Astyanax mexicanus: one gene and its partner. The protein of the gene in region 2 interacts with the protein of the main gene of each other region in a biochemical or structural test. Links are inferred from orthologs where the notes say so. Each region holds a gene or a part of one and is shown on either strand. Other genes may lie near its edges. The genes, in order: ect2 and racgap1.

Evidence for each region.
Region 1: the proteins of racgap1 (region 2) and ect2 form a complex in vitro, tested with the Homo sapiens proteins (3 studies listed by BioGRID and IntAct, with this or other methods). The link is inferred for Astyanax mexicanus from reciprocal best matches to the Homo sapiens genes RACGAP1 and ECT2.

The regions. Positions count from the first base shown.
Region 1 is NC_064423.1:4,512,328-4,522,979, forward strand, and holds the start of ect2 (protein ECT2), read right to left. Parts: upstream 4,043-10,652; 5' UTR 3,699-4,042; intron 1,806-3,698; 5' UTR 1,789-1,805; coding exon 1,656-1,788; intron 1,462-1,655; coding exon 1,382-1,461; intron 1-1,381. UniProt on the Homo sapiens protein: Guanine nucleotide exchange factor (GEF) that catalyzes the exchange of GDP for GTP. Promotes guanine nucleotide exchange on the Rho family members of small GTPases, like RHOA, RHOC, RAC1 and CDC42.
Region 2 is NC_064420.1:6,131,283-6,142,402, reverse strand, and holds the start of racgap1 (rac GTPase-activating protein 1), read left to right. Parts: upstream 1-6,537; 5' UTR 6,538-6,697; intron 6,698-8,032; 5' UTR 8,033-8,035; coding exon 8,036-8,120; intron 8,121-8,229; coding exon 8,230-8,432; intron 8,433-8,609; coding exon 8,610-8,752; intron 8,753-8,862; coding exon 8,863-8,932; intron 8,933-9,022; coding exon 9,023-9,076; intron 9,077-9,188; coding exon 9,189-9,266; intron 9,267-10,078; coding exon 10,079-10,196; intron 10,197-10,674; coding exon 10,675-10,820; intron 10,821-11,120. Other genes in the region: inactive dipeptidyl peptidase 10, read right to left, coding at 3,618-3,656.

The DNA of each region.
Region 1 (10,652 bases), on a different chromosome or scaffold from region 2:
AGCGGATAGTTTTAGACAGTCAAAGCATTTCCTCAGGAAAACAGGAAGTGCTGCCTGCTCTTATCAGTACACACATCTATCAGCCCAATCACAGTCCAGTCAAAAAATTCCCTAAAGGCAGGAGATTTTTACTAACTGCTTATCTATGAGCTCCGCAGGCAACAGAATGCAGATTTTTCTCTATAAACACCAAATTACACTAAAATGCATCATCACAACAGAAACAACTGGCTGTTTTTTATTTCCAATTAAGAATCACTACGTTTTGATTGTGTTGTATCAATATGTGGTGTCTGATACTGATATTGTTATTGAAACATAGCTCTAAACTCCCCAAGACTCACATAAAATCACTCACATAAACAGAGCTCACCAGCATCAGTCCCAGTTTCAGAATGAATCATTTAAGGGCTCTATCACTTTTATGCAAATAAGCTGTTTATAGCTTATAGCTATGTGGTAAGTTTACCACACGTGAGTGTTAGCTTGTGCTAAATAGGAAAACATGAACAAGCTAGTTTAGCTTAACTGTGACAGAAGCACAAAACTCAATTATCTGCTGAGTTGCCACGAACAGTAGGTACAGATCCCTCCTACAGGTGAAGTCTGCTGGCTAATTCCACTGTGTACTGTCTGAGGTTCTCAACCAAAATAAGCAAAATTGTACATCTTTAACTGGTCTGTTGGGGTTGACGGGTGAGGGGTGGTGCCAGAGTGGTTCTATGCAGGGTTCCTTATTGTGACGTCAGCTATACAAACGGCTCATAGAAGCATATGATTCCTGACACCAATCTCTTTCAGCTGATTCACAGAAAACAGGAAGGGATTTTTTTTATCTTGACCCAAATAAAAATACAAAGGAATGCAAAAAGGTAAGTTAGGCATAATATGTCTTATTTAAATGGTTTTAGTGTAGCGTAGTTTTTTAAGTGTTCTATACAGACACTACATTTATTGCAGTTTATGGCTATTTTACAACACTGTAAAAATAATAACACTTTGAAGAGTTGTCGTCATTGCATGTACTTTGCAAGCTAAGCAATGCACGTTATTTGTACAATGTTTCATAATAATTTAATACTGGTCAAATTTTGTGAAAGTATCGTAGATGATTGTCGTGCGATATATATCGCAGAATCATAGTATTGTGATATAATTGTGGGCAGTGTATAGTCATAATATCCATGCCCTGTGATTTCTACCAGTAATCATTACTGAGTGCCATTACACAAAAAAATATATATAAATATAACTAAAAATTAAAATAACAAAAATGTATCACTGTGGCTAATCTTGCATAATGTCACTATGTGTTAAATACAGTACAGGCATAATATGATTTTTCCTTATCGACAGTAAATTGCAATCAATCCCACTTTACCTCCAATGCCTTTACAAGTTCAGGATCGTGGCCTGTTTCTCCCACCAGCACTACTCTAGTCTCCACTCGGCGAAGGATTTCTGAAAGAATAAGAATAAGACAAGAATCAAGGCAAGTCTCCCAGGAAATACATATACTGTCATACGTCAAACAAAAATGGAAATCTGGGCTCCTCTGTTCAATTTAGAATAAAGTGACAGAAGCATGTTAAACTAAAATAAAGAAATAATTCAAATCTTATTTGATATATTACTCCAGTGGAGACCTCACTTACCCTCTGCTTCATCAGGAGCCAGCCCCAGGAAGGTGTGCTCCTTAGAGGTCTCTGCCATTCTGGAGTCGTACACAGACGAGTCCACCAGCAGGCTACGGGCCATGCCCAAAGTCACTATGCTGCTGTCAGCCATGGTGCTGTGACCCAATCCTGTCCAAAAGAAAATTAACAGTTACATCAAAAAGGGAGAAGAGAAAGTCGTGAACTCTATGTTCAGCAAACTGCAAACAATGACCCTCAAAAAAAAAAAGGAAACTTAACTTTTATAGTATAAAACTTTTTTCCTATGTGTAGCTATATTTAGACTCGTTGTGTTGTATGTGCTTCAGTTATAATGGGACAATTTATTCTAATTAGCAGTAAAGTTCTATTATTTCCAATATTGGAGATTGAAGTCATGCCCAGAATAAAGGAAAATTATGGGTTTTTTTTTGTTTTTTTGTAGTGCCTGCTTTCATAGTGTCCATAATAATAATATCCAACAAATGACATTAGAGAAAATTACACCCTACTTACTGTAAAACTGCTGCACTCAAACTCACTGGAACATTATGTTAATCTTCCTTTTATATTTGGGAAAATTCTGTGCCTATTCACTGTTTTAACATTTCTGAAAAAGAAATCAACATAATGTTGTGTATTATATGTAATAAGGGCAACAAGTTAAACATAACATTAATATATATATATATATTTTTTTTTTTTTTTTTTTTTTTTTTGGAAAACAGCATTTCTCATATTTTTTAATCATTGGAACATAATTAAAGTCAAAAAAAGTTAACCTACTATTAAACATCCCTATACCCATCTAGGTTAGTTAACTAATCTAACTAACTAGCTAGCCTTAAGTAGCTAACTAAGCTAGCTAACACTCTTGGCAAACTTAATAAATCTATTCAAGCTAGTAAAATAGTAGGTAAAAAGGTAGAGAAAAGAAGAGTTATCCAAAGTTTGTCTGGAAGCAACTGGAAACAGTTTAGGAATGCTACAAATAGTTGCTATGCATTGAAAAAAAAAAGTATCTCCAAAACAGCAACTTTGTAAGAGAGAAAAAAACTTCTAAATTTTCAATGGAAGTCGATGTAAAAAGAGTTTGTTTCAGGTCATGCTGAAATTTTTCTATTTGTCCGTTCATAAAGAAATGTTGATAGTGTAAAGGGACAGTTTGTCTGTTTAAGTTATGTAGTAAACTAAAAAATTAACAAAATGTAAATACTTGTTTTTCATTGGACAGCAACTAATATACAGTACATACACACAGACCTTTTATTAGCAAAAAATGAAACCTCAAATAATGCAAAGAAAACACGTTCATATTCATAAGGTTTTAAGAGTTCAGAAATCAATATTTGGTGGAATAACTCTGGTTATTAATCACAGTTTTCATGCAACTAGGCATCATGTTCTTTTCCACCAGTCTTACACACTGCTTTTGGATAACTTTATGCTGCTTTACTCCTGGTTCAAAAATTCAAGCAGTTCAGTTTGGTGGTTTGATGGCTTGTGATCATCCATCTTCCTCTTGATTATATTCCAGAGGTTTTCAATTTTGCAAGATCAAGGAAAAACATCATTAAGTGGTCTCTTATTATCTTCCTTTTGTGGACTAACACATAAAATAAAAATAATTTAAAGTTGTTAACAAGGTTAACACTAACTAACTAACTTAGCTAATTAACCAGTTAACAAACCTGTGTTGGGTAGGGTAACATGTTTATTTAGCTATATTAGGTCAAGTTTCTTAAAGTTTAAAGTTCTGATGAGCCCAAGGCCGATTTCCTCCAAGAATAAAAGGGTGTACATACATTTGACAATAACATAAAGGTTAAAATGATGTAGTTTTATTAAAAATAGCTAGTTAGTTTAGCTACTTAGCTGCTGTGTTTAAACAGTGACAGCTGTCTGCTAGTTAGCTAGCCTAGCTAAAGGTGGGGGGCTACTGGAAGCACTGCTACTAAGAAAAACCTTAAAAATAAAGCAAAAAGCAGTGGTTAAAGTTAATAAATGTGTTTAGAGAGAGGAAGCAGAGATAAGAAGACTTACCCGGGGTCAGCAAGAGTCAGGTCGGGCCCGGGGACAGTGCTGAAAGGTCTGCTGGAGCTGAGAGTTGAGCTGCCTGGCTGAGCAGCAGCAGCAGGAGGCCGGCTAGCAGCTACACAGAGTTCCCCGCAGCCTCCCTTTCCCACTGTTAAACTACCCAACACACAACAAACCGCCCCAAAAACCGAGCGATAACCCGTATAAAATAAACCACACCGCCGGACACGGGTGTGACAGAGCGCGTGGGCTGAGAAACGCTAGGAAACAAGTGTAAACATTAAATCCATTTTCAAGCTTTGTGCTCCTCCAGCAGATCCTCTCCCGTTCTGAATTCAAAACTACAGCCGCACCGAGGAGCCGCGCGCTGATTGGCTGAGGCGGATGAGGTTGGCGGAAGTGGCTCCGGATTGGCTGTTAAATTCAAACCGCGATGCAGTGGCGGGGCGCGTGCGCTGGGCTGACTGAGAAAACAGTTTATACTTTATTCAGATTATTTTATTCCGATTTGCTTTAAATCATCTCTTCACTAGTATAGAAGCTCATTCCTCACACCTAATTCACAACATTAATCCAGCACATATTTATGTATCATTATTAGCTAAGTAACTTTATTATAAGATACAAAGTTTTTTTTTTTGAGGCAAAATCTCATTATTTTGAGATACTATGCCGTTATTTTGTGATTCTATCTCATTATTCTAAAATGATCATTTATTTTTTTAAGATAACAAATCGATATTTTTAGATTATTTTAATATATCTCCTTATTTAAAGACATTTTGAGAAAATATCTAGTTATTTTGAGATACTATCTCGTTATTTTGAGATGCTATCTCATTATTTAAATATATTTTGAGAAACTATCTAATTATTTTTTTAATTTAATTTATCACAAACACTAGGTTAGCTTTTTGAGGACAGGCATTTTAGTTCATTTAAAAAAGAGGAAAAATTTAATTGAAGAGCCCTTTCTATACTAATATTGTTGTACTGTAAGTATTGAGTGACTAAGTATCAAGTATCAAACTTAGGAAAAATGTGTGTTTGGTTTTCCACAAACCAGATTTTGGAGTCCTATAAAACCAGTAAATCAAACTTTTATTAAATAAAGTCATTAAATCCTTTAAGAGACATTTACATATACTGACATTACTGTAGCAATTTGGATTAATGTGAAGGCAAACCTAGAAAAAATGTCCATTCGGTTTTGCATAAACCAGATTTTGGAGTCCTATAAAACCAGCAAATCATTGAAGAACCATTTCCATACTATTATTGATGTACAGTAAGTATCAAGTTATGTTACTGTAGCATTTTCAAGTAAAGGAAAGTCAAACTTAGGAAAAATGTCTTTTCGGTTTTTAATAAACCAGATTTTGGAGTCGTATAAAACCAGAAAATCAAGCTGTTTTATATAACAAACAAACCCACCATTAAATCTTTAAAGAGACTTTTTGATACTGTTCAGGATTTAAGTATCTAGTGATATTATTGTGGCAATTTGGAGTAATGTGAAGTCCTATAAAACCAACTAATCAAACTGTTATCAAATTACACCAATAAATTATTGAAAAAGGTGAGCACTCAAATGGCTAGCGCCAGCCCAGGCACATAACTGTATATAAGCAGACAGTAGCATTAACATAAAGGTGCTCTTTAAGCAACTGTCTTAATGTTAAATTGCATAAATGTGTTGACTTGACCACAGGCTATCCACCTGTCTGTTTATAAGAAGCCAAGAACTACAGAGGAGAAGTAAGTAAGTGAAGCTGGGAAGTCTGAAGTCTGAGTCTTCACAGAATAAATATTTATTAAGCTGCTGCTGGGACTTCACTGCTCTGCGCATCTTAAATATTAAGCCAACACAGATACCACATGACAGGCCTCTGAAAAATGAAGATGTCGCCTGTCTCCCATATCATTTCACAAAGAAGAAGACTGGCCCTTTTTTTTTTTTTTTTTTTTTCAAATGAGAGCTTCTTCAAAAGTCTGTGTCTTTGTTCTGCTCCAGCTCACCAGCGCGGCGGCTCCAGAGGCCGAGGCTCATAACCAATTCCTCCCAGGCGGTGGTTAGGGGGGGTGGCTGCTCCTGCGGCTGCTGAGGCTGCTGGGACCGGCTTCAGAGGGGCCTTGAGAAACCTGTGTCTGTGCCCGGGCTGAAGGACACACTGATGAGGACTGGAGAGATTCTCTCTTTTTGTTTTTTAGCCTCTGACTCTGAGTGACTGTGTGGCAGATTCAGCCCTTTGTTGCGACTGTGTGCTCTCCCCCCTTCTGCCTCTCCTCATAGGCCCACTGGAGCTTGAAAGCCCCCCTCTGTAGAACAAAGCCCGGTGAAGCCTGCTTTTACCACCTTCTCCTTTCTGTCACTCTCTGAGAGGCGCACCCAGCGGTCTCCCCCAGGTGGACCACCTGACATGAACTAAACGGTCGCGTGGCAGAAGATGAACGTCTATCACAAAGTCACAGTAGGTAGTCTTTCTGAGATTTCAGAGAGCTCCTGAGCGAACGGAATTTATTTAGGGAATGGAGCGCTGTAGTAAAATACTATTTGTCATAGAGTAGACAGTGTTTTTGCTGCATTTTTAAACAGCAGGTTGGATTTCACCTGCTGCGCTAAAACCTCACCTGTACCGCTAGTGCTACCTTTTATATTCCTCACATCATCAAGACCAAATGAACTTGGATTTATTCAAAAAAAAAAGAAAAAAAAGAAAAGAAACAGAAGTGCTTTTTTCAGCTGTCTTTTTCTCTGCTTCCCGTTTGACAGTTTGGCAGGAAGAAACGAAATTAGAAGAAATTAAACTGACACTTTTCAGAGCAAGGAGCGATTTCACTGCTATTAACAGATGGGGTGACTTACAAAATGAGATTCCTCAATTCCTAATCCTAACCCTTCATCACTGAATAAAATAGATCCATAGACAAAAACTATATATATTAAAGAATTTAATATATATATATATATATATATTATTATTATTTTCTTGAAATATATATATTAAAGAAATATATAAAATAATTACTGTAAAGGTAAGTGATCTTATTATATGTTATTCTCCATAATAGAGCCACTGTGAAGTCTTTATTGTATCAACGGAGGCTTGAGAAAAAAGTGAGACTCTCTCTGTCTGTCTGCACCAAAAACTAAAACTAAAACTAAAGCTAAAGCGGAGGTGGACCATGCAACATGACAATGACTCTTGAAAACGTCTAGTATATCCACCAAGAAATGGCTCGAAGGAAAGAAATGGAGATTAGTGGTGTGCCATATTGTATCGTGCACAATAATATCGCCAACCTTTTTGAATATCTTGAACTATAATATTATACCCTTAAAATATTGTGCCATATCACCCACCCCTAATTATCACATCAGTGTACTACTTTTTTTTGCAGTTTTTAGCAAAAGAAAAAATCACTCTGTTCTCATTTACCATTATACCGGTATATCTACTAGAGACTATAGATTATATCTGTCCAGTATCATTTATTTTACTTTAATCCTGGGAATATGGAGATATTTGGAGTGCATTATTATTAGTATCATGACATTCTGGATAATTGACTTCTGTTACAAATCTGATAAAAATCCGTGTTTTTTTTTTATATCTCAGTTAGGGGTGTAGCATATTATATCGTATGCACTAATACAATTAGATTTTCATTTTGTTGCAGTAGTGTATTCTTGAAATATATATATATATATATATATATATATATATATATATATATAGTATATATATATCGTATATATACATATATTGTCTATATATACGTATGTGTTTTATATGTTTATATATATATATATATACATATATATATATATATATATATATATATATATATATATATATATATATATATATATATATATATATATATCATATGTTTTATATATATTTATATATATTATTCAGTGTTTTCTCATATTGCCAAGAGTATTGTTATTGCGAAAATACCACATAATACCAATAAATATCATGATATTATTTTTAGCACCATATTGACACCCCTACTGGAGATAAAATGCTTAACTGAGATTATAAGGGAAAAGTTGTGATGCTGCCAAAATGATTTTAAGACCAGTGATTTCCTAATGGCTATTAGGTAACACTGAGTGTTCATTAATATGAGTTACATGTAAAGTCCTAGGTTAACCATGGCTAACATAACTAGTCGTTTAAAGTCTGGAAGGTTTTTTGATATTAATATTTTTCTGATATTTACACACCATGTATAAGTTTTTGGCTTTGCTTCCTGTTTTCACCTAAATGACTTTTATTGTGAAACAAACTAGTAACAGGAAGTGGTGGTGTCGGACATTTTTTTTGGGTAGGATTGCTAATAAGGAAAAAAAAAGTTTGCTCCACATCTTTCAACCTCTAAGGAAGAGATACTTCAAGCTGTTTCAAACTGTTCCTGGACCTGTGGATTGTATGTGAAACTGGGTAGGACCAATGCTTTCCTTATTTTGCTGTGCCCTGTATTTTTTCAAGATATTTTTTAATTATCTTTTTGTTTTCGTGAGATTTCGATTATTTGGTCTGATTTTTATGGATTTTGGACACTTTGGCTTCTGATTATTTTTTAATTGCTTGAACATGGACTCATGCTTTGTTTGGGTTTTGATATAAGAACTGTATAATAGTGTAGCATTGTCCATTTGTATTCGTATAAATCAGAATTTTCTGAAATGAGTTTTTGAGTGAAAAATGTCATTCCTATTCGTTACAATGTGATGCACTTACATTGCCTTTATATACAGATATTGTTTGGTTACACATTGATATGACCAAACACAGACATGCCACATGTAACAGAACTTAGTATCATGTTCCATGACTTTTGCCATGTCCCTGACATGACCAGGCCTGTTCCAAGTAGATCCCGTTGTAGTAACATGCTGTATGACATTTGTCACTGTGTTGTAGCTTAGTTTCAGAGTGTTAGCAATCTTCTCATAACCTAGGCCATCTTTATGTAAAACAGCAATGCTATTTTTCACATCCTCAGAAAGTTATTTGTTATGAGGTGCCATGTTGAATATTCAGTGGCCAGTGTCAGAGAATTGTATCCAAACAATATTCTCAAATCTCATGCTTTGAGCGCGTGACACACATACCTCAGCGAGTTCACACGCTCACAAGCCACACATGGTATTTCTCACACTTGCCAATCCACCGGCTGCATATTACAATGTATAAGAAGTGTCCGATTCAAAAGTTTTGAAACACACGTCGGTGAACAACTTAAACAACTGAGGAAGAATGCGCTTTTAATAGAAAATGCACTTATAGTATTCTTTACTTGATTTAAACCCACTTTTAAAGTATATACTTTTAAGTATACTTCTTTTTTACAAGGAAAGTGCCCTTGTGAAAAATAAGAAAATGTAACTGAGAGCGGGAATAATCGTACTCATCATAATTATATTTTAGATCTGGCACTTGTCACGTCTCTAGGCTCTCCTTTCACACTCCCGAACTCCATTTCCCATATACCCACTGGCGATGACGTCACCGTCAGCCGCTCACCTTCACCCAATCGTGTTACTCTCCTCCGTTCAGACTCTCCTGTGTTCTAAGTTGTTCCGGTTCATAGTAATTCTATGTTTTTTATATATAGGGTTCTGTTAGCATATGTTCTTTGCGAGGTATTGTCGACTCATGTTGCGTACTGAGCGTTTTTCCAAACCCTTTTCTGTCTGCCCTTTTGTTATGACCCTTTTTTCTGTATTACGGATTTTGCCTTTTGTATTTGCCCTTATCGGATTTGTTGTATTATCGGACTGTCTCTCTGGCTTCGGATCTTGGACTGTTTCCTGTACTACGTCTCCTGCTTACACTGTGAGTTCTGTTCGATCTGTTCTCTGGCTGTGTTATTCTGTTTACGGCTCTGTTAATAAACCAGTCTTTACCTTTTATTCGGCAAGCGTCACCCCTATCTGTCTGGTGTTTCAGCACTGACCTTGTTATATAATGGAGAAACAGTAATAATATATATATAAATATATAAGTGAATACATAAAGAAAGAAATTGTAATGCTCTGTTTGCAAGTTAGCACATAATTGATCACCAATAAGAAGAACTCATGAACGCAAGCTTTTTTTTTTATGCACATATTTAATCGCATGTTTAAAAATGTAGACTGGTAATACATTGTATTGTATTGTATTGTCGGTTTGCGATCACTGACCAAAGGTGTCAAAGCATTGTACAGTTTGTATTCTTTATAAATACAGGAGCGTAATGATGGTTATCATAAACTCTGCATTCCACTTTTCCTTTTTGTGCTTAGAGTCATTGAACAAAAGTTGGTCAAATGGAAAAAATGTGGATTTTGTTTTTTTGTATTCTGAATTTTTCTTGAAAATGTTACAATTGGACTGTTCTCCTTCTCGATGGTGAAATATGAAATATTTGGTGTGTAAGAATATTATACATTCACTGACATGCTGTCAAAATTGCATTTTCCTTTGTTGTTCTGTCTAGATAAGATATGAAAATATGAAGGCAGCGTTTTTTAATACAGTACACTTATTTACTTATTCTCACTGATTTATCCACTGCTTTTGCATTTGATTCCATGAAAATAAAAAAAATATATTTCCAAAGCCCAATCATACATTACCTTACATTACCTGTCTGTACAGTACAGTTGGAATAGTTGTGCTACAATAATAAAATACGAAAAGGTGAAATAACGCTTAGAAGCTGAACCTGGACTGAGATCCGATCTGAGGGAGATCTGTTGAGGAGGTTTATAAGTAGTATGAAGCTTTAAAATCAGAAAAAAAACAGAATATGCAAAACAAATAAGTCAACATGTAAAAAAAAGGAGTATATAAATCTTATATAATACACATACACATGATAGATTGTTATTTTAGTTTTTCGAAAGTGCTGCATTTCTGACCATTTAAAAGAGTTCTTCAATGCTCTTCGGATGGTTCG
Region 2 (11,120 bases):
TTAAAAATATATTTCTGAGCTGATATCATTGAAAACACACACACAAAAGACACTTACCTCCTTCAGACCCTGCATCCATTGCAATGGACTTCAGGTATATGTAAGACTGTTTGAGAGCTGTTGTCCATCAGAATAGACCATGAACCAGCCAATGAAGTTTATAAACCAATTGAATAGTAACTTTGCCCCGGCCATTGCACTGGAAAAACAGTAGTGCCTAAGCTTAATTAATAGATGCTATTTTTACTAATTTAATCTAATTTAGAACACTTTTTATTCATGTTTTCTTTACTGTTTTGGGATAGTTTATAAAATAAAAAGGTCAGTATGAAATATAAAATATTACACACAGGCTCCCAATGCAATAGAAATATATAAAAAAAACTAGATTTATTTGCTATATAGATTTTATAGAAGAATATTAGAGTTTTTTATGGGCATTAAAAACAAAAAACAGCTTTCTTACATTTTTTTTCCGTTACTGGAGATAAGTCAGGTCTGAAAGGGTTAAAGGAGAGTATCAGCAGCTCTAAGGTAAACTCGAGAAGCTGCTCACAAGTGCTGGAACAAGGGAATTTAAACTGAACGAGCGTTTGTCTCTGATAATGATAAATGTGTTGTTTCTTCACCGTTCCAAACCTAATCACACCCCAAAGTCTGTTTAAATGCTGCCACTGTTGAACCAGATCGAGCTGGTGTTTATCAAGACCATTAAGACTAAGCACACTCATCTGTTCCCCACAGCCAATCCTCATCCATATTCCCCAGGAGACACTCTCACGATGTGGGCTCGCAAAACCGCTCTCCAGAGTGCCATTCACTGAGACACTAACATCTAATGAGTAGCTGATGTCTGAGTGTACCAGCAGATAATAAATACTTTAACACATTTTACTGAGATTCGCAAAACATGGCATCTATAAAAAGAGTACAATCTACACCTTTTTATTTAATTAGTGTGCTTGCAGTAGGCAATCACGTAATTAATCTTCTTAAGTTAAATCAAATTATGATTACAACCATTTTTGCTTTCTTATCTTATCAACTAAAACTTTATTTGATGCATCATATTAATGGCATGTAAATAGCATGTAAATAGCATTGTATATATATATAACCTATATGATACATTTATTTAGTTTCACATATTAGGTTATGTTTTTTTTTACTGTAAAATAGCTAGTTCACATTGCATTCTCAAATTAAACACTTATTGACCTTCTGAGAACTCTCCTCAGAGCTGCCAACTAGCCTATAATGTCTGGCAATAGTGTCTTTATGAAGACACCAGATGGAGCTGTTTTGTCCTAAAAGTTGTACTACTATTATATTGAGTATAAAGGATCTAACACAGATAAAAGTATCACAGTTGTGTATACTCAAATATCCACAATACATACTCAGAAAAGGTAGTTTTGTTGAAATGCTTAAAAACATGGCATTAATGGAAAGAGGGGAAAATATACCTTTTTTATTTAATCAGTGAGCTTGCAGTAGGAAATCATATTGATCATCATAAGCTTTATTCTTGTTTTTAATTATAATTTAATAAAAATATTATTACTACATCATTTTTTTCTCCTTAACTTGGTATAAACTGTATACAGCTGCTAGATGAGTGCAGTAGTATTCTTGCAATAAGCATCCAAACAAGCTATTGTGCCCCATAGGGATGCATTTCAAATTACTGCATTACAATTCCTTTTCTACAGGTCACATCTTTCGAATTAAAGACTCCAAGTACAAGAAAAAAGCACAGTGCTAATCTTTATTAATCACTAAAAATATATTATTCCTCATACGAATGAATGTCAAATGTTCAGCTCTCTCAAACCATTAGACAAAGGCATTAGCAGACAAAAATATTAACATTAAACATAGCAACACCTTAGCAACCACCGTAGAAAACAAATTTGCAACCAAGAACTACACTATAGGACAGAACTACATTATATCTGCTATGGGGAGACAAAATTTTATATTATTTAATATTTATTTAAAATTGTGTTCAGTGATATTACAGTAAGCTACTTTGTTCTGACAATCATAACTGATTATGTCAGTAAAAGGGGACATATTATATGTCTTTTTACACACGTTATAATATGTCTCTGGGCTATAAAAATGTTAATAAAGTTATTTGCACAAAATCACTCTCACATAACGAGATTTCACCAGCTTTATTCCTACCAGTTCCAGTCCCTTTCAGAATGAGCCATTTAAGGGCTCTGTCACTTTTATGCAAATAAGCTGTTGCTGGCTACATCATGTTTATGCTGAGCATTTATCACAATCAGTGTTACCTTGTGCTAAACAGTACATAGGTTTATATAGGATCTCCAGTGGATTTGACATTTTACAGAAACTCTAAGATTAGATCAATGGCTGAGCTGCACTTAAGCAGGGCATTACACTTGTTGTAAAGTAACATATGACATTTCAAAGACTGTTATTAGTGTAAAAATATCGTTATTTTAAAATGTTTCTAACTGTTGTCCATCTCACTGATGTCGCAGTGAGAGGCAATATGTTTGCATGTATGAATATTCATGAGAAATCCTATCGTTTCTCCCCGCCCACCGGACTAAAGCACCATTATACATGATCACCGGAGCAATCAATAATCATCAATCATCAAAAAATAGCTCACATGGCATTCATTCATTCAAGAAAGCACAATTAGATATTTTAAAATGAATGAAAAAACATTTTCATGACAACCTATTTCACCCTATTTAAACATGAATTCCTCAATTGTTTAAGCCACTGAAATATGACAAATATACTTTAATAACACATTCATTGTGATATTTTGACATTAAGTGCTCCCTTCCTGCCCAAATAACAAGTATAGCTTCTAATTTTTTTAAACATTGTACTCTGAAAAAGAGGAGCATGCATGTGCTGAAGTGAATACAGCTTGTTGCATCTTTTCTATGCATTTTATACACTTATACTTCCTGTCTTGTTTTATATTTTATTTTTCAATAAAAAAAGACTATACCTTAGCACCCACCTATTAACATCTTAGCAACCAGCACTTGTACCACAGCAACAGTGATGCTGAGCTGCAGTCACAGAGGCAGATACTCATTTACAGATACAGATGCAAGTGCCTAGTATGCAAGGCTGCACTTGTGAGAGTTGTTGCAGAGCAGATAAGAGACTGAGCTGGGGTATCTGTGCACAACCCCAGCTCAGTCTCTTATCTGCTCTGCAACAACTCTCACAAGTGCAGCCAGGATCATTGGTACTGATACACAGAGCAGCAGAAGCACAGGCAGCAGCACAGGCAACAGCACTGCTGGATATCCCAGGCTTTGTTTAGACAGTGGTGGGCTGGGGTCTCTGCAGGGTAATGGGATTAGAAGTATGAGGGGGGAAATGTGCACCATGCCCACGGACTGACTGCTCTCCATACAGATCCACGCTCAGCTATTAGCTGTAACCGCACTCTTATTTTCCTGCAGCTCCCGTTCACACAAAAGCCACAAGCACGCGCACACACACACACATACACACACACACACCGCTCAGCGTGCAGCATCTGCATTAGCCCAGCCCCCGGGCGATGGACAGATATAACAGACTTATAGAAACACATGCATGTAGTTTACCAGGTCAGTGGTCATGTTCTGCTGCGTGGTGGCGATCATGTTGGCAGAGGATGCTCGCGCCTGTGGCTCTTCTTCCCGCGAGGAGACCGACTACTCAACACGACCACCAGCAACCCCGCGCGCGCTATAATCACACCGGGATAAAGTTACCCATTTCTCTCCCTCTGACACACACCCTCTCTCTCTTTCTCTCTCTCTCTCACACACACACACACTCTCTCTCTCTCTCTCTCTCTCACTCCCTCTCACAGACACACGCACTCTCTCGCTCTCACTATTTCTCTCGCTCTCACTATCTCTCTCTCACACACACTATCTGTCACACACTCTCTCTCTTTAAAAAAACACACTCTTACTCTCTATCACACACACTATCTCTCACTACTATCTCTCTTACACGCTGTCACACTCTCTCACTTTCTCTCTTCAACATACACAATCTCTCTTACTCTCTCACACTATCTCTCTCACACACAGTATCTCTCACTCTCTCTCTCACACACACTATCTCTCACTCTTTTACACACTCTCACTCTCTGTTTCACAAACACACTATCTCTCTTTCTCTCTCACACACACTGTCTCTTACTCTCTCACACACTCTCTCTTACTCTCTCTCTCTCTTTCACAAACACACTATCTCTCTTACTCTCTCTCACACACTCTCTCTTACTCTCTCTCACACACACTCTATTTTTCTCTCACAAGCACACTATCTCTCTTACTCTCTCTCACACACTCTCTCTTACTCTTTCTCACACACACTCTATTTTTCTCTCACAAGCACACTATCTCTCTTACTCTCTCTCTCTCTCACACACACTGTCTCTCATTCTCTCTCTCACACTCTCCCTCAAACACACTCTCTCTTACTCTCTCTCACACACACACTGTCTCTCATTCTCTCTCTCACACTCTCCCTCAAACACACTATCTCTTATTTTCTTTCACTTACACACACACACACTATCCCTTTCACAAACACAGTATGTCTCTTTCACAAACACCGTCTCTCTTTCTCACACACCATCTTTCACAAACACACCTTCTATCTCTTACTCACACACAGTCACACACATCTCTTTTACAGACACACTACCTCTCTTACTCTCATTTCTGGACACCCTACACAACACACTCATTCCACCTGATCAGATTGCTGGCCCAGAGCAGCTCAGGCACGTTGTCATTTGGGACAAAGTAAGTATCCACCTGGCTGCTTTGGTTCATAACTGGTTCACTGCCCACACACTCTTGTCAGTTGTATATCTCCCCCCCATATTCTCCATTCCTCAATCCTATTGATGATTTTTTTCCCGCCTGGAGATGGAAAGTGTATGACCTAACTTCACAAACGGATATACCCCTTCTCCAAGCTATAGAATATGCATGTGGAGATATAGCAGTTGATGCATTGAATAGCTGGATTGCTTGTGATGTTGGTTAGATGCTGTGGCCAGACTAAAACAGAAGACAGGATGCAGCATAGTTTTTTTGTTTACTGTAATTTTATACAATAAACTCTTCTGTTGTTTTGTATGTAAATCACTGCATCTTTGTATTGGTTGCATTGTACATGTGTACATTTTGTTGGAAAAATAAAATTATTATTTTACTGTGTATTTGTCTGTTCTGAGTTAAAAAAAAAAAATTAATATTTTACAACGCACTTATGTGTTTACTGTCTGTATGTCATTATGATGAATGGAGAATGGTGTTTTACACTGAGCACGTCAGTGTTCAACTGCTTCTTTTAATTGTCTGTTCATATGATGGTTTCTGTGTGTCATCTGAACACAAAATAGCCTTTTGTGAAAATATAACACTGTTTTGAATGTAAAGTTTCATTTTGCAGGAGAATTGAAGGATTTTGCCCATTGTGTGCGTTTTTGTTGGATTTGTGTGTAGAGTTCTGAGAATATGAGGCATGTTTTCAGAAAATGTGTGTAAACAATCCAGAAAACTGTAAAAGTTTTTGATGGGGAGGTTCAGGTGAAGCTTTGGCAGCTGGTGTTGGGTTTTCTATTCTCTGCTGCCACCATCCGGCTCTTTCAGGCGAAGCCTCTCTGGGTTGAAAACGCAAGAGGAGAGAGACTAGCAGGGAGCTTAGTAAAACAGATTTATTGTGCTGCTGAAGTGGGCAATAAAACGTAGTGGGGAAATAAGGGGGAAAAGAAGGAAAAATATATTATAAGGACAAAATATAATAAACATTCCATACTGCATTTTGCTTTATGGAGGTTTATGCTCATATATAAGAAGATAAAAACAAATTAGATATTGTATGATATTTTTTCTTTACCTTACTTTATTTGTGGTTATTTTGATATTTTAGTTATTTTATTTAGTTCCTTTGTTTACATTTCAATATAGAATATACAATGCTAGTCAAAGTCAAGCCAGTCATTTTTTTAGCTAAAAATAGTAGAAAATAGTTGTACACAAACAAAAAGAAGTAAAGAAAACAGCATGCTTTATATTAATTTGGACTCACTCGAACTGAATTAAATTGAAAGAAAACGAGATATTATTATTAAAGAAAATACAAATAATATAATTTTAAGGGAAAAAAAATATAGACACACAAAGCTTCAGTTTTTTCATCACATGTGTTTGTTGAAAAAAAATCCATCATAGCTTTTTTAAAAATGTAGTAATTATTGAGTTATTTTATGATATAAGCTTAAAAATATTTTTATGTATTATTTAATAGTTCTTCCTTATAAATATAACTTTTACTCACAAAAAGAAAAGGATATGTAATATTTATACATAATGTTTTTTTTTTTTTTAATTCAAAATAACAAATGTTGTCTTTGGAGTTAAAAATAATTCAAAGTTTAATGAGACTCCGCCCCCCGCTCTGCCTCACTGTTCACGCCTGCGCAGCTTGGCGCTCATTGGCTAGCGGGTAAATTTGAAATGTAACTACACTCGCTGCTAATCCGTTAGCGCTGTGCTCAGACCGACCCAGCTCTGATGGGCAGGCAGCGATTTATAGTGTAATTCAGCGGGTTTTCCCAATTTCCTCCTGATTAATATCATCAGAACAGATCACAGCGAGAGGACACAGCGCAGAGGTGAGTATTTTACCGGGTTTTATCAGATTTTACCGCAATAATAGTTGTTATTGTTGTTCAACAGCACCGGGATTAACTGTAGTTACTGTGTGAATCTGTTTAAAATCACCGCACAACACAGAACCCGCTGCTAATTTATCGTTACAGGATTACCACATTAGCTGATATGTTTACTATATTTTCTTGAGCGTTACATTAACTAACTGCATTCCTTAGAACTAAGTTAGTTAGCTTAGCTAGCTAATGTGCGTTCACCTTGCTTTGGGGTTGACTTGTGCAAGTTACACAGTCGGTTAGCTTAGCTAGCTAACTAACGCTAGCTAGGTCAAGTTAACTAACGTTACTTAAGGTTATTTTGTAGGCATTTTAGCGAACTGTTTGTGATGTTAAAACTGTATAAAATGTCAACGTTAACTATCTAATGTTTGTATTATAACGTAGCTAAGGTCTGTTTATAGCGAGTTTAACGTTACTAGCTAACTTTACCAAGCTAGGTAACAATGTAAAGGCTGTTTTAACTTGTTGTTGTTACAACAGCGTTGTTGTTGTTAGAACAGAATTGTGGTGAGTTGTGCTAACTTGTGGGCTACTCTAGTGTATATTTAACTGTAAAAATACAAAACAAGCACCGTATTAGAGCATGTTCCCTGTATAAGTCTTTTATAATTATTGTATGTAACTTTTATTCACACTTTAGTGCAATGACAGTGAGTCCAAGTTGTTTAATGCACAAACAAAAAAAGCATTTATTATATATATATATATATATATATATATATATATATATATATATATATATATATATATAAATAAAACGAGAAATAATCAAAAGGTGTAGGTCAGCGCATGCGCAGTGCCTTTAGGAAGCACGTATCGATGGGTAGCATAACTCGACAGAACACCTGGCAAGATTCGGCTACCTATTTGTTAATTTTTAGTTTAATTGGATTAGCTTGGGCATACTAGTTATTTAGCGTGGTCAGCTTGATCATGCTGGCAGACACAACCAAAAATAAAGTGCTACATGTGACTAAGTTGGACAAGAGTTCAATGACTAACTCTTTCTTTTTTTGTATTTTATATTACATTGGGAGAACTCTGTACAAAGTTTCATACAACCTTTATATATATATATATATATATATATATATATATATATATATATATATATATATAATATATATATATATATATATATATATATAAATATAAATAATTGTTTAGGATTGTTGAACTTAATAATTTAACATCTTTGTCAGTTATTCAAAAAAAAAATATATACAGAGCCTTTGTAGAATCAGTTCTGTTTTTTTAATTTTTTATTATTCTTTGTAGAACATGGACACTGCTGTGATGAACCTTTTTGGCATTTTTGAAAATCTAAGAGCCCATGTTGACGTCCTCAGTGAAAGCATCGAGCCTCGTGAGTTGAATTACACTGTTTATTTTACACATAAATACAACCTGCCATGTGTGTATATGCAGCGGTATCATGGGAACAGTCTTCCTTACACTTACGCTTGTATTTATAGAGTTCATTCAGATGGCCCTGAACTTTGAGGACTGTCGGCGTAAATGGCTCCGAGTGGAGCAGGATTTCGCCTCGTGTAAGGAGGTGCTTGCCAAGGCGGAGACTGAGAGAGGGGCTCTGGAGGTCAAACTTAAACACGCTCGTAACCAAGTGGACGTGGAAATCCGGAGACGACAAAAAGCTGAAGCAGACTGCGAAAAGCTGGTATGTGACCTGGAGACATTGCACATACCAGACAGACAGAAATGCTGATTGACATTTGCCTTCCATTCATTCCACGAGTGCATAGGTTGCTTTATAAAGCTCAGTAACTGGTGAAGTAGGGCTTTCTTAGAGTAAACCCAGTAAATAATTTCTTTCTTTCTTTTTTGTTGTCCACAGGATCGTCAGATCCAGCTGATCCGAGATCTGCTGGTCACGGAGGGTTCTAGCAATAGCATCCAGCTGAATGATGAGCAACGCTCAGCCCTGGCTTTTCTTAATGCACGCTCTCAGACACCTGCTAATCTCAACAGCAGCCGAAGGTGAGGGAGAGAAAAATAATATCACTGTTTATTAATATGTCACACTCAAGCTTAGGAATAAGCTGCTAAAATATCTCTCTTTTTTAAATTGTAACATTAATTTTCTGTAGGTTGACCACCATTGATGAATCTGCCTCAATCCTATCAGACATCAGTTATGATAAAACTGATGATTCGTTGGTAATTAACTTTCTATTGACTTTAATTTTTGCTGTTTATTCCATAGAGTTAAACATATAAACATAATTTGATTTGTTGTTTTCTCAACAGGACTGGGACTCCTCTGTTGTCAGAACTGTTCGACTGAAGAAACGTCAGAAGAGAGTAAGCTGATGACTTGTGTATATTCATCTATAAAACCCAGTTCATGAAATTTGGACATTCCTTAAAGCAAATATGTGATTTTAAATAAATTATTATTATTATTTTTTTGTAGCGCTCCTCCCGAAACCACACTGAAGGTCCACCAGCTGCTGCCAAGCGGTCTCGATCCACTGGCCGCACTTCTGAAAAGGTAAAAGACCATATATGTATATGTAATGTTATAACGTCCATTTTCTCACTAAGAGTTCCCCAAAGAACTTTTAATTTCAACTTTAATGTAATTTCAGCTACAGCAGATGTTGGTTATACCATCTCATTTAGTATATGTTAAATTGGACCTTCTCCAAATATAAGGCAACAGTATTGCTTTTGCAGACATAGTTCAGACCCAGTCATTTTTTAAGTGTCATGATTTTATTATGCAGAGCCTGAAGGGTTACACTGAGGTCAAGGGTGATTTCACACCTGTAGTTGGGTTCTCTGCTCCAGATCAATTGAGGAATTTGTTTACTTGAAGCGTTTTCTACCTCTGTTTGGTTTGGTTTCACACAGGCACAAACCTAAATGTACCAGGATGTGCACCAATAAACCACGCAAGCACATTGTCTCCTTCAGGCTAATATATCAGATTAAACCGCACCTTATCAACAGTTTAGCTCAAATAAAAGCAGTGTATTTGATAGCTGGGTCAGATTGAGACTGGATCACGTTCTCACCACAAGCAAACTGCTCCAGACCAAGACCACCTCATTTAGCTAGTCTCAGTTTGGTTGTTTTGATCCTCTTCCGAGTGCAATTACTGTTTTAATACCTGCTCAATCGAACCGCACTAAGGGTACAAACAAACCAGAGTTCGTTTTAACCAAACCAAATAGTGATGGTGTAATAGAACAGGGTTCCATATTGTAAACTTTTAGATGTAAAGGGTTTAAAAAAAAAAAAAGACAATGGAAGCAGTTGTAAAGGTTCTGGCACACTGAATAATTATGTAAATATCTATAGGGGAATGAGTCTTTGGTGGCAAAGACTACTGTGACTGTGCCTAAAAATGGAGGACCTATAGAAGCTGTCACCACTGTTGAAGCTGTTCCTTATTGGACCAGGAGCAGGAGAAAGACTGGTAAGTTCCAGCTTTAGCTTATTCCAGTAGACTGTGCAAAATATAATTTTTTAAACGTCATTTCTGGATATATGAAGTGCATTAATAGTATTATTACATTTTGGACCATTGACTTCTGTTACATACGATATGCCACATTTTATGGTGAAAATTGCTGTATCTCATTGTATTCAAACAAAATGTAGCAATACCCTTAAATATCGTGTTATTATTTTAAAGTCATATCGCCAATCCCCACTCAACATATTACACTTTGCACTTACTGAATTTAAAAGCTTTTAAATTAGCAATATTTGAGTTAAGCTCTAAAGGGCGGAGAGTGAGCCTCCGTTACATGTTATTTAAAACTCATGGTTTGTACATAAATTGTCATTTTTTTAAATATGGAGCAGCTGTATGTCAGTTGTTCATACTCTGCATTGTTCCCTGTGTCTGTGAATCTGCCTTCATTTTGCTCTTGCTGTTTTATTTTTTGTAGCTACTATGGATTGGGACACTGCAGACACTGATTCTGTTCAGTCCATGGACGTGTTCAAACAGCCCAGCCGGCCACAAAGAGAGAGCAGAGCAGAGCCCAGCACACCACAAGGTGGTGTCCGCCTGCATGAGTTTGTCTCCAAAACGGTATGTTGAGAATGGGAGGCTTCTGCTTTTGCCTTTTATTTAAACAGTTTTTATATATATATATATATATATATATATATATATATATATATATATATATATATATATATATATATATATATATATATATATATATATGTATATATATATATGTGTGTTTGTGTGTGTGTGTGTGTGTGTGTGTGTGTGTAATTTGTCATGTGTCAAACTCAAGGCACGTCCTTTTATTTTGTCTGCGGGAGTTTGAAAGGGCTTAGTGTCTAAAAATAAATGCGTTGACCAAAAACTACATTTCCCACA